3 linked regions of the Oryctolagus cuniculus genome follow. The protein of the gene in region 1 purifies or fractionates together with the protein of each later gene. This does not show direct contact. Links are inferred from orthologs where the notes say so. Each region holds a gene or a part of one and is shown on either strand. Other genes may lie near its edges. The genes, in order: ARPC4, ARPC1A and ACTR3B.

What was found.
Region 2: the proteins of ARPC4 (region 1) and ARPC1A fractionate together in Homo sapiens (co-fractionation; 7 studies listed by BioGRID and IntAct, with this or other methods). This does not show direct contact. The link is inferred for Oryctolagus cuniculus from reciprocal best matches to the Homo sapiens genes ARPC4 and ARPC1A.
Region 3: the proteins of ARPC4 (region 1) and ACTR3B purify together in Homo sapiens (affinity purification with mass spectrometry; 5 studies listed by BioGRID and IntAct, counting the BioPlex papers as one, with this or other methods). This does not show direct contact. The link is inferred for Oryctolagus cuniculus from reciprocal best matches to the Homo sapiens genes ARPC4 and ACTR3B.

What each region holds. Positions count from the first base shown.
Region 1 is NC_091441.1:116,915,681-116,919,331, reverse strand, and holds part of ARPC4 (actin-related protein 2/3 complex subunit 4), read left to right. Parts: intron 1-1,513; coding exon 1,514-1,625; intron 1,626-3,023; coding exon 3,024-3,119; intron 3,120-3,651. UniProt on the Homo sapiens protein: Actin-binding component of the Arp2/3 complex, a multiprotein complex that mediates actin polymerization upon stimulation by nucleation-promoting factor (NPF).
Region 2 is NC_091450.1:41,590,530-41,594,180, forward strand, and holds part of ARPC1A (actin-related protein 2/3 complex subunit 1A), read left to right. Parts: intron 1-74; coding exon 75-297; intron 298-3,651. UniProt on the Homo sapiens protein: Probably functions as a component of the Arp2/3 complex which is involved in regulation of actin polymerization and together with an activating nucleation-promoting factor (NPF) mediates the formation of branched actin networks.
Region 3 is NC_091438.1:21,038,167-21,040,988, forward strand, and holds the end of ACTR3B (actin-related protein 3B), read right to left. Parts: intron 2,252-2,822; coding exon 2,168-2,251; intron 1,537-2,167; coding exon 1,441-1,536; 3' UTR 605-1,440; downstream 1-604. UniProt on the Homo sapiens protein: Plays a role in the organization of the actin cytoskeleton.

The sequences.
Region 1 (3,651 bases):
GGTACACAGAGAGTGAGCTTCCATCCATTGGTTCACCCCCCCCAAATGGCTGCAACAGCCGGAGCCGGCCTGATCCAAAGCCAGGAGCTTCCTCCAGGTCTCCTGCATGGGTGTAGGGGCCAAATACCTGAGTCATCCCCCACTGTTTTCCTAGGCATATAAGCAGGGAGCTGGATTGGAAGTGGAGCAGCCGGGACTCGAACCAAACCAGCGTCTGTGTGGAATGCTGGCACCATAGTCAGTGGCTTTACCCACTACGTCACAGCACCGGCCCCCCAAATAACATTTAAAACAAAGTTTGTGAACATATAGGTTTAATCCTAGCATTTGTTTGTTTTTGAATTATTTTCTTTTTTTTTTTTTTTTTTTTTTTTATTTTGACAGGCAGAGTGGACAGTGAGAGAGAGAGACAGAGAGAAAGGTCTTCCTTTGCCGTTGGTTCACCCTCCAATGGCCGCCGCGGCCGGCGCGCTGCGGCCGGCGCAGCGCGCTGATCCGATGGCAGGAGCCAGGAGCCAGGTGCTTTTCCTGGTCTCCCATGGAGTGCAGGGCCCAAGCACCTGGGCCATCCTCCACTGCACTCCCTGGCCACAGCAGAGGGCTGGCCTGGAAGAGGGGCAACCGGGACAGAATCCGGCGCCCCGACCGGGACTAGAACCCGGTGTGCCGGCGCCGCTAGGCGGAGGATTAGCCTAGTGAGCCGCGGCGCCGGCCTGAATTATTTTCTTTGAAAGGCAGGGCAACACAGACAAGCACGGAGATCTTCCATCTGATAGTTCAGTCTCCAAATGCTGTGTTAGCCAGGCCTGGGACAGGCACAAACCAGGAGCTGGGAACTCCATCTGGTCCCCCACAGGGGAGGAAGGGACCCAAGTACTTGAGTCATCGGCATCTGCTGCCTCCTGGGGTCTGCACCAGCTGAAAGCTGGAATGGGAGCCCGGGCCAGGGTTCTGACTCCTGTGTGGGATGCAGGTGTGTTAGCCAGCGTCTGGACCCTGTGCAGGCATCGTACGATGTAACAGCTCCCACCAGCATGGTTAACTGCCGTTCAGAATATCTGCAGACTTGACCTAAACTGACAGGGGTCAGGTGGCGAGCGAGTGAATCACTCTGGATTGATGAAGAAAGGAGGCCAGACGGAGGCGAGTGCTGTGGTCGCTCCCTCGGTGCTACGCTGGTCACCTCTAGCTGTCCGCATTAGCTCTAGAGTTCCTGCCGTGTGGCAGACAGAAATAGCAATCAGAGTGGTTTTACAGAAAGGGGACTGAGATTGCAGCAGGGAGACTTGGCCCAGGAAGGGGCAGGGACGGCTGGGTTTGCAGCCCCTTGGGCCCGGCCTCCGGAGCCTGTGCTGTCTGCTGGAGAACATGCCCCTCACCCTGTCCTGGAGCAGGCCTGCTTGTAAGTCTTCCCGTGTTAGACGGCGGTCTCAGCTCAGGATCAGGACCCGCCGTGGTCATCACTGTGCTGTCCCTCTGTAGTACAGAGGTCTCTGCCACTTTGTGTTTTCAGGAGTAGCAAAGAGCTGCTGTTGCAACCAGTTACCATCAGCAGGAATGAGAAGGAGAGGGTGCTGATCGAGGGCTCCATCAATTCCGTGCGGGTCAGCATTGCTGTGAAGCAGGTGAGTCTGTCCCCATCCGGGCGATCAGTGGCCTGACGGGGCAGGAGACCCAGGCTCTGCTTCCTTGAATGTACCCTTAAGACGATTTGCCAGACTCCACAGTCAGTAGGATAAAGAGACCCCAACCCACACCCGTCTTCTAGGCCTTGGTCTAGGTTAGAAGGCAGGAAGCGCAGCAGCCCAGGCTGTGGGGCCGGTCTGGCGTTAGGCCGTGGAACCGTTCCTTAGGAATGTGGTTTGAGAAAGTAAGCAGCACTGGTACTGGTTTCACAGCAAAGCAGCCTCTGAAACTGAGACTTGGGCTTAAAAAAGAAAAAGTGCCGCTCGTCTGTCTGCTCAGGCAGTGGTTTGTTATCCATCACCTCCATACCACTAGGCTGGTTGTTCACCTAATTTTTTATTTATTTATTTATTTTTAGATTTATTTTTTTGTGAGTCAGAACTAGAGAGAGAGAGAGAGAGAGAGAATCTTCCATCTGCTGGTTCAATTCCCAAATGGTTACAGCAGCCGAGGCTGGACCAGGCCTGAGCCAGGAACCAAGAGCCTCCTCCAGATCTCAGAAGTCGGTACAGGGGCCCAAGCACTACTGCTTTCCCAGGCCATAGCAATGGATCAGAAGTGGAGCAGCTGAGACTTGAACCGGTGCCTGTATGTGAGATGGTGGCTGTAGATGGCGGCTTAACCCCGTGCGCCACAGCACTGGCCCCCACCTAATAGATCTTTAAAAATTGAGTTGCTTTCTTTTACTCAAATTTTTTGAAAAGAGACTTTATGCCGTAAGTGGAAAAACAGTATCACTTGCTGCAGTAGAAGGTAACTATAGAAGGAAACACAGTGAAAGCGAACAATGTTATTACGTTCCAAGTGGATACTACTGTCTGCAGAAAGCTCCAACTCTCAAGTCTGTTCTCATTGTGAAAGTGGAAGATTAACAAGTATTGGCATAATTGGAGCTTTAGATTTACAGAGAAAGTTGAAAAGGGAGAAACGTGAATTGTTGGATGTTGAGTGTCACTAAAGCAGACAGGTACCACCCAGGATTGTCGGGACAGGTACTACCTGGGATTGATCCCCGCTGGCACTTGGCCACACTCGGGGATGAAGCACTCATGAAACAAGGAAGGAAAGGCAGCTGTGAACGTAGGTGTGCACCCTGAGGGCCTGGGAAGCGGCTGTGTGTAGCCAGAATTCCCTCTCTCGGATGGGTGTGGTGGGATTACAGGCACCCCTCACAAAGGTGGGGAGACCCTGCAGTACCCCCTCCTGTCCGAGTGAGCACTCCCAGTGCCAAACCCTCCAGGGAGCTTGGGAAAACGGGGGTCAGAAGACCAGGCTGTCAGGTTCGCAGCCTAGGGCACTCAGCTGGAGAGACCGCATTTCTCCTTTGTCCTCACCAGGCCGACGAGATAGAGAAGATTCTGTGCCACAAGTTCATGCGTTTCATGATGATGCGAGCGGAGAACTTCTTCATCCTTCGGAGGAAACCAGTGGAGGTGAGGCTGCGTGCTCCTGGGTTTCTGACCCCTGGGATTCTGTTCCGGGGCCTGAGGTGGTTTCTAGGACTGGGCCCAGTGCCTGAGTTGAGAGTGTCTGTCTCAGCCAGGCGGAGTGCGCGGCAGAAGCTTAGGAGGGGCCGGGTCCAGCTCAGCTCAGAAGAGGGGAGATGCCGCTCCTTTGCCCGGAGCCTGCAGGCTGGCAGCAGAAAGAACGCAGCGAGGCAGAAGTCTCTAGGCCACGCCACCTGCTCCAGTGCAGCCCCTGAGCCACGGCTCACGCTGGGCCCACTGTTGCCTGACTGTGCAGGAAGCCTCTCCCGACTCCCTGGGAGGTCGACTTAGAATAGCCGCAGTGACTGAGCGTGTGCTGGCCCGGACACGAGACAGAGTTGGCCTTGTGCCGGGTTCTCTCTTCGATACTCTTGGATGCCCCTTCTCCCCAGTAGTAGAAGGCCTCCATCCCATCCTCTTCCTGAGTCTTGTCTCTGGAGCACACGTTCTCTGTTTTGTCGGCTTCTTCTGTAACAAG
Region 2 (3,651 bases), on another chromosome or scaffold:
CCCGCCCCGGCCTGCCAATCACTGTCACACCGTCACTGCCTGGGCAAAGCACACAGCCTACGTCTCACTTGCAGGTATCGACTGGGCTCCCAAGAGCGACCGCATTGTCACCTGCGGGGCAGACCGCAACGCCTACGTGTGGAGTCAGAAGGACGGCGTCTGGAAGCCGACCCTGGTGATCCTGCGGATTAACCGCGCAGCGACTTTTGTGAAGTGGTCGCCCCTAGAAAACAAATTTGCTGTGGGAAGTGGAGCACGGCTCATTTCTGTTTGTTACTTCGAGTCTGAGAATGACTGGTAAGCAGTAGTGAAATGTTTTTTTTTGTTTGTTTGTTTGTTTTTTTTTTTTTTTTTTATAATTAATCTTTCTGAGAGGTACAATTGGGGATGGGGAGTAGGACAGGAAGACATCATCCATCCGCTGGTTCACTCTACAAACAGCTGCAATGGCCAGGGCTAGGCCAGGCCAAACCCAGGATCCCAGAACTCCATCCAAATCCCCGACATGAGTGGCAGGGGTCCAAGGACCTGGGCCATCTTCCATTGCTTTCCCAGGCACATTAGCAGGGGGAGCTGGATCAGAAGTGGAGCACCAGGAATCTAATCAGTGCTCAGATGGGATGCCAGCATTGCAGGCAGCTTAACCCACTGCCACATGCCAGCCCCACATTGGAACCTTTTACATTAGGGCTGCCGTGTTCGTCCTGCCTTCTTGAAGCCCTGGGCGAAGGTTTAACTGTAAGTCCAGCTTTTCTCATTAGCAGACTTTTTTTGTTCCCATTCTGTCTGAGCATCTTTCCTCCTTATGTGTACTTCGGGCTAAATCTCATCTCATTAATATAGAGGTACTGTTTCCACGCTCTGATCTCCTAACTTGTTTTGCAGGCTGCTCCTCCTCTTCTCCCTCTGTTCTGCCCAACTTGCTGTGTTCTTACTCTGGTATATACATCAAGCTTGAAAGAGGCTCAGTGATTTCCTTTCCCACTGTGTTTGTTCACTTAGAATACCTTGGATTTTACAGATAACTGTGTTCTCCTTTCCTTGAAGCTTATGTGCTGACCGAATCTGTGTCTTGGTATATGCAATATTTTACTTGCTGCTGCAGTACAAATTCACCAGAATCTTATAAGTATAAATCACTTGCAGCCGAGCCAATCAAAATACAAGGGTTTATTATGTGGCTACTTATTTTAACTACTCCCTCCTGCTTATTTTGATAGGAAAGCAACTCTGTTCTGCCTGGCACGTATTCAGAATGGTGGTAAATGTCCTTCAACATGGCATTGATTGTTAGTGCAGAAGTGGCCATGTTTGTGTACCAGGAAAAACAGCAGGGAACACATTTCACTCTCGTGGTCTCTCTCTGCGTTCTGCTGCAGCAGCGACGGGAAGGGACCATCGTGCTGCATTTCATAACTCAGAAAAACTGCAGAAATTTTTTATCCTTTGGAAAGAAAGTCAGTTTGCAACAAGATTGAATTATGAATTCAAGACACACATTTTGCTTCCGCATGTGTGTTAAAAATAAGGTTAGCGGAATGCTGCCTGTCAGAAATCACCTGGGAGCTTCATTGGCATGCACAGATAAGAAACAAACGTCGTTAATGTTCCTACATGGCTACACTTTACGGCAGCTAAGTCCCAGCAGTCTTAGGAATTTGTACAGAAAACCCTTCTCCTAGCTGGGCGTCCGACTCAGTACTTGTTTACATTTGTATTCACTGAGTGGTCTCAAATAGAGGAAAATCGGACTTCGCTTCGGTATAAGGTGTCATGTTCAGGGCGGTTTCTCAACTGTTGGACAATATTTCATTATCCAGTATTCAGAAGCCTGCAATTCAGTCACTTGAACTGATTGTTTTGCTTGCTACTCTTTTCCTTAAATAATTTTTTTTGAAAAACGGCATTATAAAACAATTCAGAATGTTGACTTTTTGACAATAAGCATTCTCAAGTTTGTAAGAAAAAGATTCCATAGAAATTTTATTCAGTATTAAGTGTCCAAACTTTTGAACAACTTGGCATGATTCGTTTTTAAACAGTAGTTTTGGGGCTGAAATTGAATTACGTAAGCCTAAATAGTGACTGATTGTAAACATAAATAATCTTTTCTGAATGGCACTGGGGAATTAGTTAGTGGCTAATACCCCCCAGAAAAATGTTCTTCTAATTTCTTGGTTGTGATTTCTTTGTGAAAAAATAAAAGAAGTTGCAGATCATGGAGACTTGTGAAGAAATTAAGCTCTCTTACAACCCAAAATGAAATAACAAATCACTGAATATTTATAATAAAATTTAAATAATTTCCTTTTTTAATTAGTTTATTTATTTGAACGACAGAGTTACAGAGAGAGATCTCCCATCCATTGGTTTACTCCCCAAATGGTAGCAATGGCCGGGGCTGTCACATGGATGGCAGGGACCCAGATACTTGGGCTCTCTTCCCCTGCTTTCCCAGGCTTGTTGGCAGGAAGCTGGATTGGAAGCACTCAGGCATTGCTCGAAGTGGCTCTCAGACAGGACGCCGGCATCACAGGTGGTGGCTTTAATCCGCTGTGCCAGGAGTCAGCTCCAAAGTTCAGAGAACTTCCAACTTTAACTTTTGTCCAGTGGTAACATTATATGTATTCTGAAATCCCAAGGGGAGAGCCAGAGTTAATCAGGTTCTTCTCCATCCTTTACCAGGAGACCTAGTGGCCAGCGAGGGAACCTTGCTAAGGCACTTTCACCGTGGCCAGTGGGCCCTGGCTGGGCTTAAGCCAGGCTCTTCCCTCCGCGTATGAAAGAATCCAAGGTGGAGGCGTAAAGGGGTACAGAAAGCAAGGTTTTTTAAAAAAGATTTATCTGTGTATTTGAAAGACAGAAATACAGAGAGAGGGAGAAACAGGGAGAAGTCTTTATCTGCTGGTTCACGCCCCAAATGGCCGCAATGACTGGGGCTTCCTCTGGGTCTCCCACATGGGTGCAAGGGCTTGAACACTTGGGCCATCTTGCACTGCTTTCCCAGGCACATTAGCAGGGAGCTGGATCAGAAGTGGAGCAGCCAGGACTTCAACCAGTGCCCACATGGGATGCTGGCACTGCAGGCGGCAGCTTTAGCAGCTACACCGTAGCAGGACTTACTTAAAGCAAAGGAAAAGTGCACACTCCAGAACTGAGTGCTGGCAAGCTTAAGAGAGAGAGAATACGAACAAAAAGCTCAACACAGAAGCCCCTCTCGAGATTCAAGCTGTTGGGGCCAGTGCTGTGGCGTAGCAGGTAAAGCCCCCGCCTGCATGTGGGTGCATGTGGGTGCCAGTTCGAGTCCTTGCTGCTCCACTTTCGATCCAGCTCTCTGCTGTGGCCTGGGAAAGCAGTGGAAAATGGCCCAAGTCCTTGGGTCCCAGTACCCATGTCGAGACCCTGTCTCCTGCCATCGGATTGGTGCAGCTCTGGCTGTTGTGGCCAACTGGGGAGTGAACCATCGGATGAAGGACCTCTCTCTCTCTCTGCCTCTCCTCTCTCTCTGTAACTCTGACTTTCAAATACATAAATAAATCTTTTTAAAAATTGCATATTTAAAAAAAAGATTCAAGCTGTCCTAGCACACACAACGGGTGGTATTTGGGGTCGGGCTTAATTGAACATCCAAAGGGAGTGGAGGGTGGGGCA
Region 3 (2,822 bases), on another chromosome or scaffold:
AGCAGTAGAAGATGGCCCAAGTGCTTGGGCCCCTGCTCCCATGTAGGAGACTCAGAAAAAGCTCCTGGCTTCAGCCTGACCCAGCCTTGGCTGTTGGCAGCCATTTGGGGAGTGAACCAGCAGATGGAAGATCTCTATCCTTTCTCGTTCTCTGTCTCCCTCTTTTGCTCTAACTCTTTCAAATAAAATAAATAAATCTTTAAAAAAATAAAATAAAAAAGCACAGGGGCCGGCGCTGTGGTGTAGCAGGTAGAGCCGCTGCCTGCAGTACTGGCATCTCATATGGGCACCAGTTCCAGTCCCACTGCTCCACTTCCGATCCAGCTCTCTGCTATGGCTGGGAAAGCAGTAGAAGATGGCCCAGGTCATTGGGCCCCTGCACCCACGTGGGAGACCCAGAAGAAGCTCCTGGCTCCTGACTTCGGATTGGCTTAGCTCCAGCCATTGCAGCCATTTGGGGAGTGAATCAGCAGATGAAAGACCTCTCTCCCTGTCTCTACTTCTCTCTGTAACTCTGTCCTTCAAATAAATAAAAATAAATCTTAAAAAAAAAAAAAAGGCAGAAAGCAGAACACCAAAGACCACCGCACTACAGAAAAAAAAATTTATAAAGATTCTAACAGCTTTTATTACAATAGTGCAAGGTAGTATTTCATCCAACACTCACCAAAACAAACCATCATCTTCTATAAAACAATTCCAGGAAATTCAAACAAAAAACTAAAGATACATTATCTATAATAATTCTCATACAATACTGTTTAGTGTTCAAACTTCATGTCACTCCAATAAAGTATAATCATTTTCTAGCAAACGTGGCAAACAAAGTTTGCTCTGTTTCTCTGTTTTATTGTCTGCCTATAAATATATCAGGACATGCCTCACAGTTAGAAACTTAAACTACAGCACTCCATGACATCAATATCTATTCGTGCTTAGGATCAGCCAGTTGTACCAAATACCATAAATACAAAATGATAGGAAATATAAACATCGATTTGTATTTCAAGTTTATAACATTTTATTTACAAAAATAGGCTGGGAGGAAAAGGGTTTACAACCCCCATCATTTCCTGGGGGTGAACGATTCCACACCATCTTCTAGTGTGTTTTCTCCCCTAACAATTTTTCCAGTCGCATCTGAATCCCTTCAGAACTGCATCTGTCAACTAGAAGCTCGGGTGGCGAGGAGGAGAGAAAATGGGGGGAGCAGGAAGTGGGGTGTGAGGGAGAAAGGAACGGGCATACAACAGTCGGCACATAAATAAATGGCTTGTACTGAAAAGACTCTGCACTGTGCCTCATGCACTGGGCAATGCACGCACACTGCTCGGACACCAACACCGGACGCTGTTATGTACAGAAACTGCACTCTTCTCTGGGTTCCGAAGGACACTTGCTCCCCAATATGGCACGATCGAACGATAATCCCGGCGGACACTAAGACATGACTCCGAAGACAGGGTTGTGACGGCAGATGCCAGGGCCGTACTCTTCATAGTCCTTCTTGGCATGGCAGACCTGAAAAAACTCCGGCTGCCAGAGGCAACAGTTAGAAGGAAACTTGACTAGTTCAGAAATAAACTATTAAGCGAACGAGAAGCTCTCCTTACCCTAGACTTCCTCTCTCTCCAAACCACTCTGATAGGATTCTGACCTCTCTGACACACTAGTTATCTCATTTTTTAAAGACGTATTCACCCTCTGTTTATCTAGAGCCCACTATATGCAGGCCCCATGCTGACAGGGTGTCAGTTACTAACAAATTTGAAAAATTAATTAGGAAAATCACTGGAATTAATAATTCAAGATTTATTTTTTATTTCACTTACTCATGTTATCTACAACCCCTAGCAAGAATACTTGCAAATTAGCTATGCAACTTAAGTGATCATTAAATTATGTCCAATCTTACAGAATTAAGTATGTGTCTATTTATAGCCACATAACTAGAACATGCACTATATAACCTTTCTAAACAATAGAGGATACATTAAATTCATGAAAAATGGAATTGAAAGCTTATTTGCTTACAAAAAATTTTTTTAATTCATGCAAGTTTTTCACAGCATGCATTTTGTATGAAGTTTTTGAAGATCTGTCCTATTTAGTCACACTTAACAGAGGCTGCAGAAATGAAATTATGCAACAACCTGAAAGGACTTACGGTGGAAGCCAGCATTGAGCCTCCAAACCACACGGCATAGCGCTGCATATGATGTGTTATCACCTGAACCTCCACAGGCTTAGGCTGGAAATAAAGTAATCTACGTTTAGTCCAAGGGTACACGTGAATTGTTATTCAAGTAATCTTTTGGCTAACAGGGTAGCATCCCTCCTGGGTCTTCCTTCCCTCTTAATGGCAGAAGGCCTCCCCCTCACATGTGCATTCTCCTGCAGTGGCACCAACTACACGCATGCTGCCTCTGCAAGGAACGTCCTCCCCGCCGGCCCCCATCGCTCCAGACCTGGGTGGTTCAAAGAAACGAGGCAGGCACAGCCCGCAGAGGGCACCTTCACACAACAAAGCCCTACAGTAAGTGAAAGACCCAAGCAACTACCCTCAATCATTTCTTTCTTTTCTTCTTCTCCTTCTTTTTTTTTTTTTTTTTTTTTTTTTTTTTTTTTTTTTTTTTTTGCCCAAATGAGATAGATGTTTTAGCACTGTAGAGATAATTCTGAGTCCCCACTTGGGCAGCACACACACTAAGAAACAGCTAGCCATTCCAAAAACACTGAAGGAACTGCCCCTTCCCAGCCAGCTGGCTCTGTCTCAGGGGGCTCGCTTCTTTGTTCCCACTTCCCCTACCAAGCACAATCTT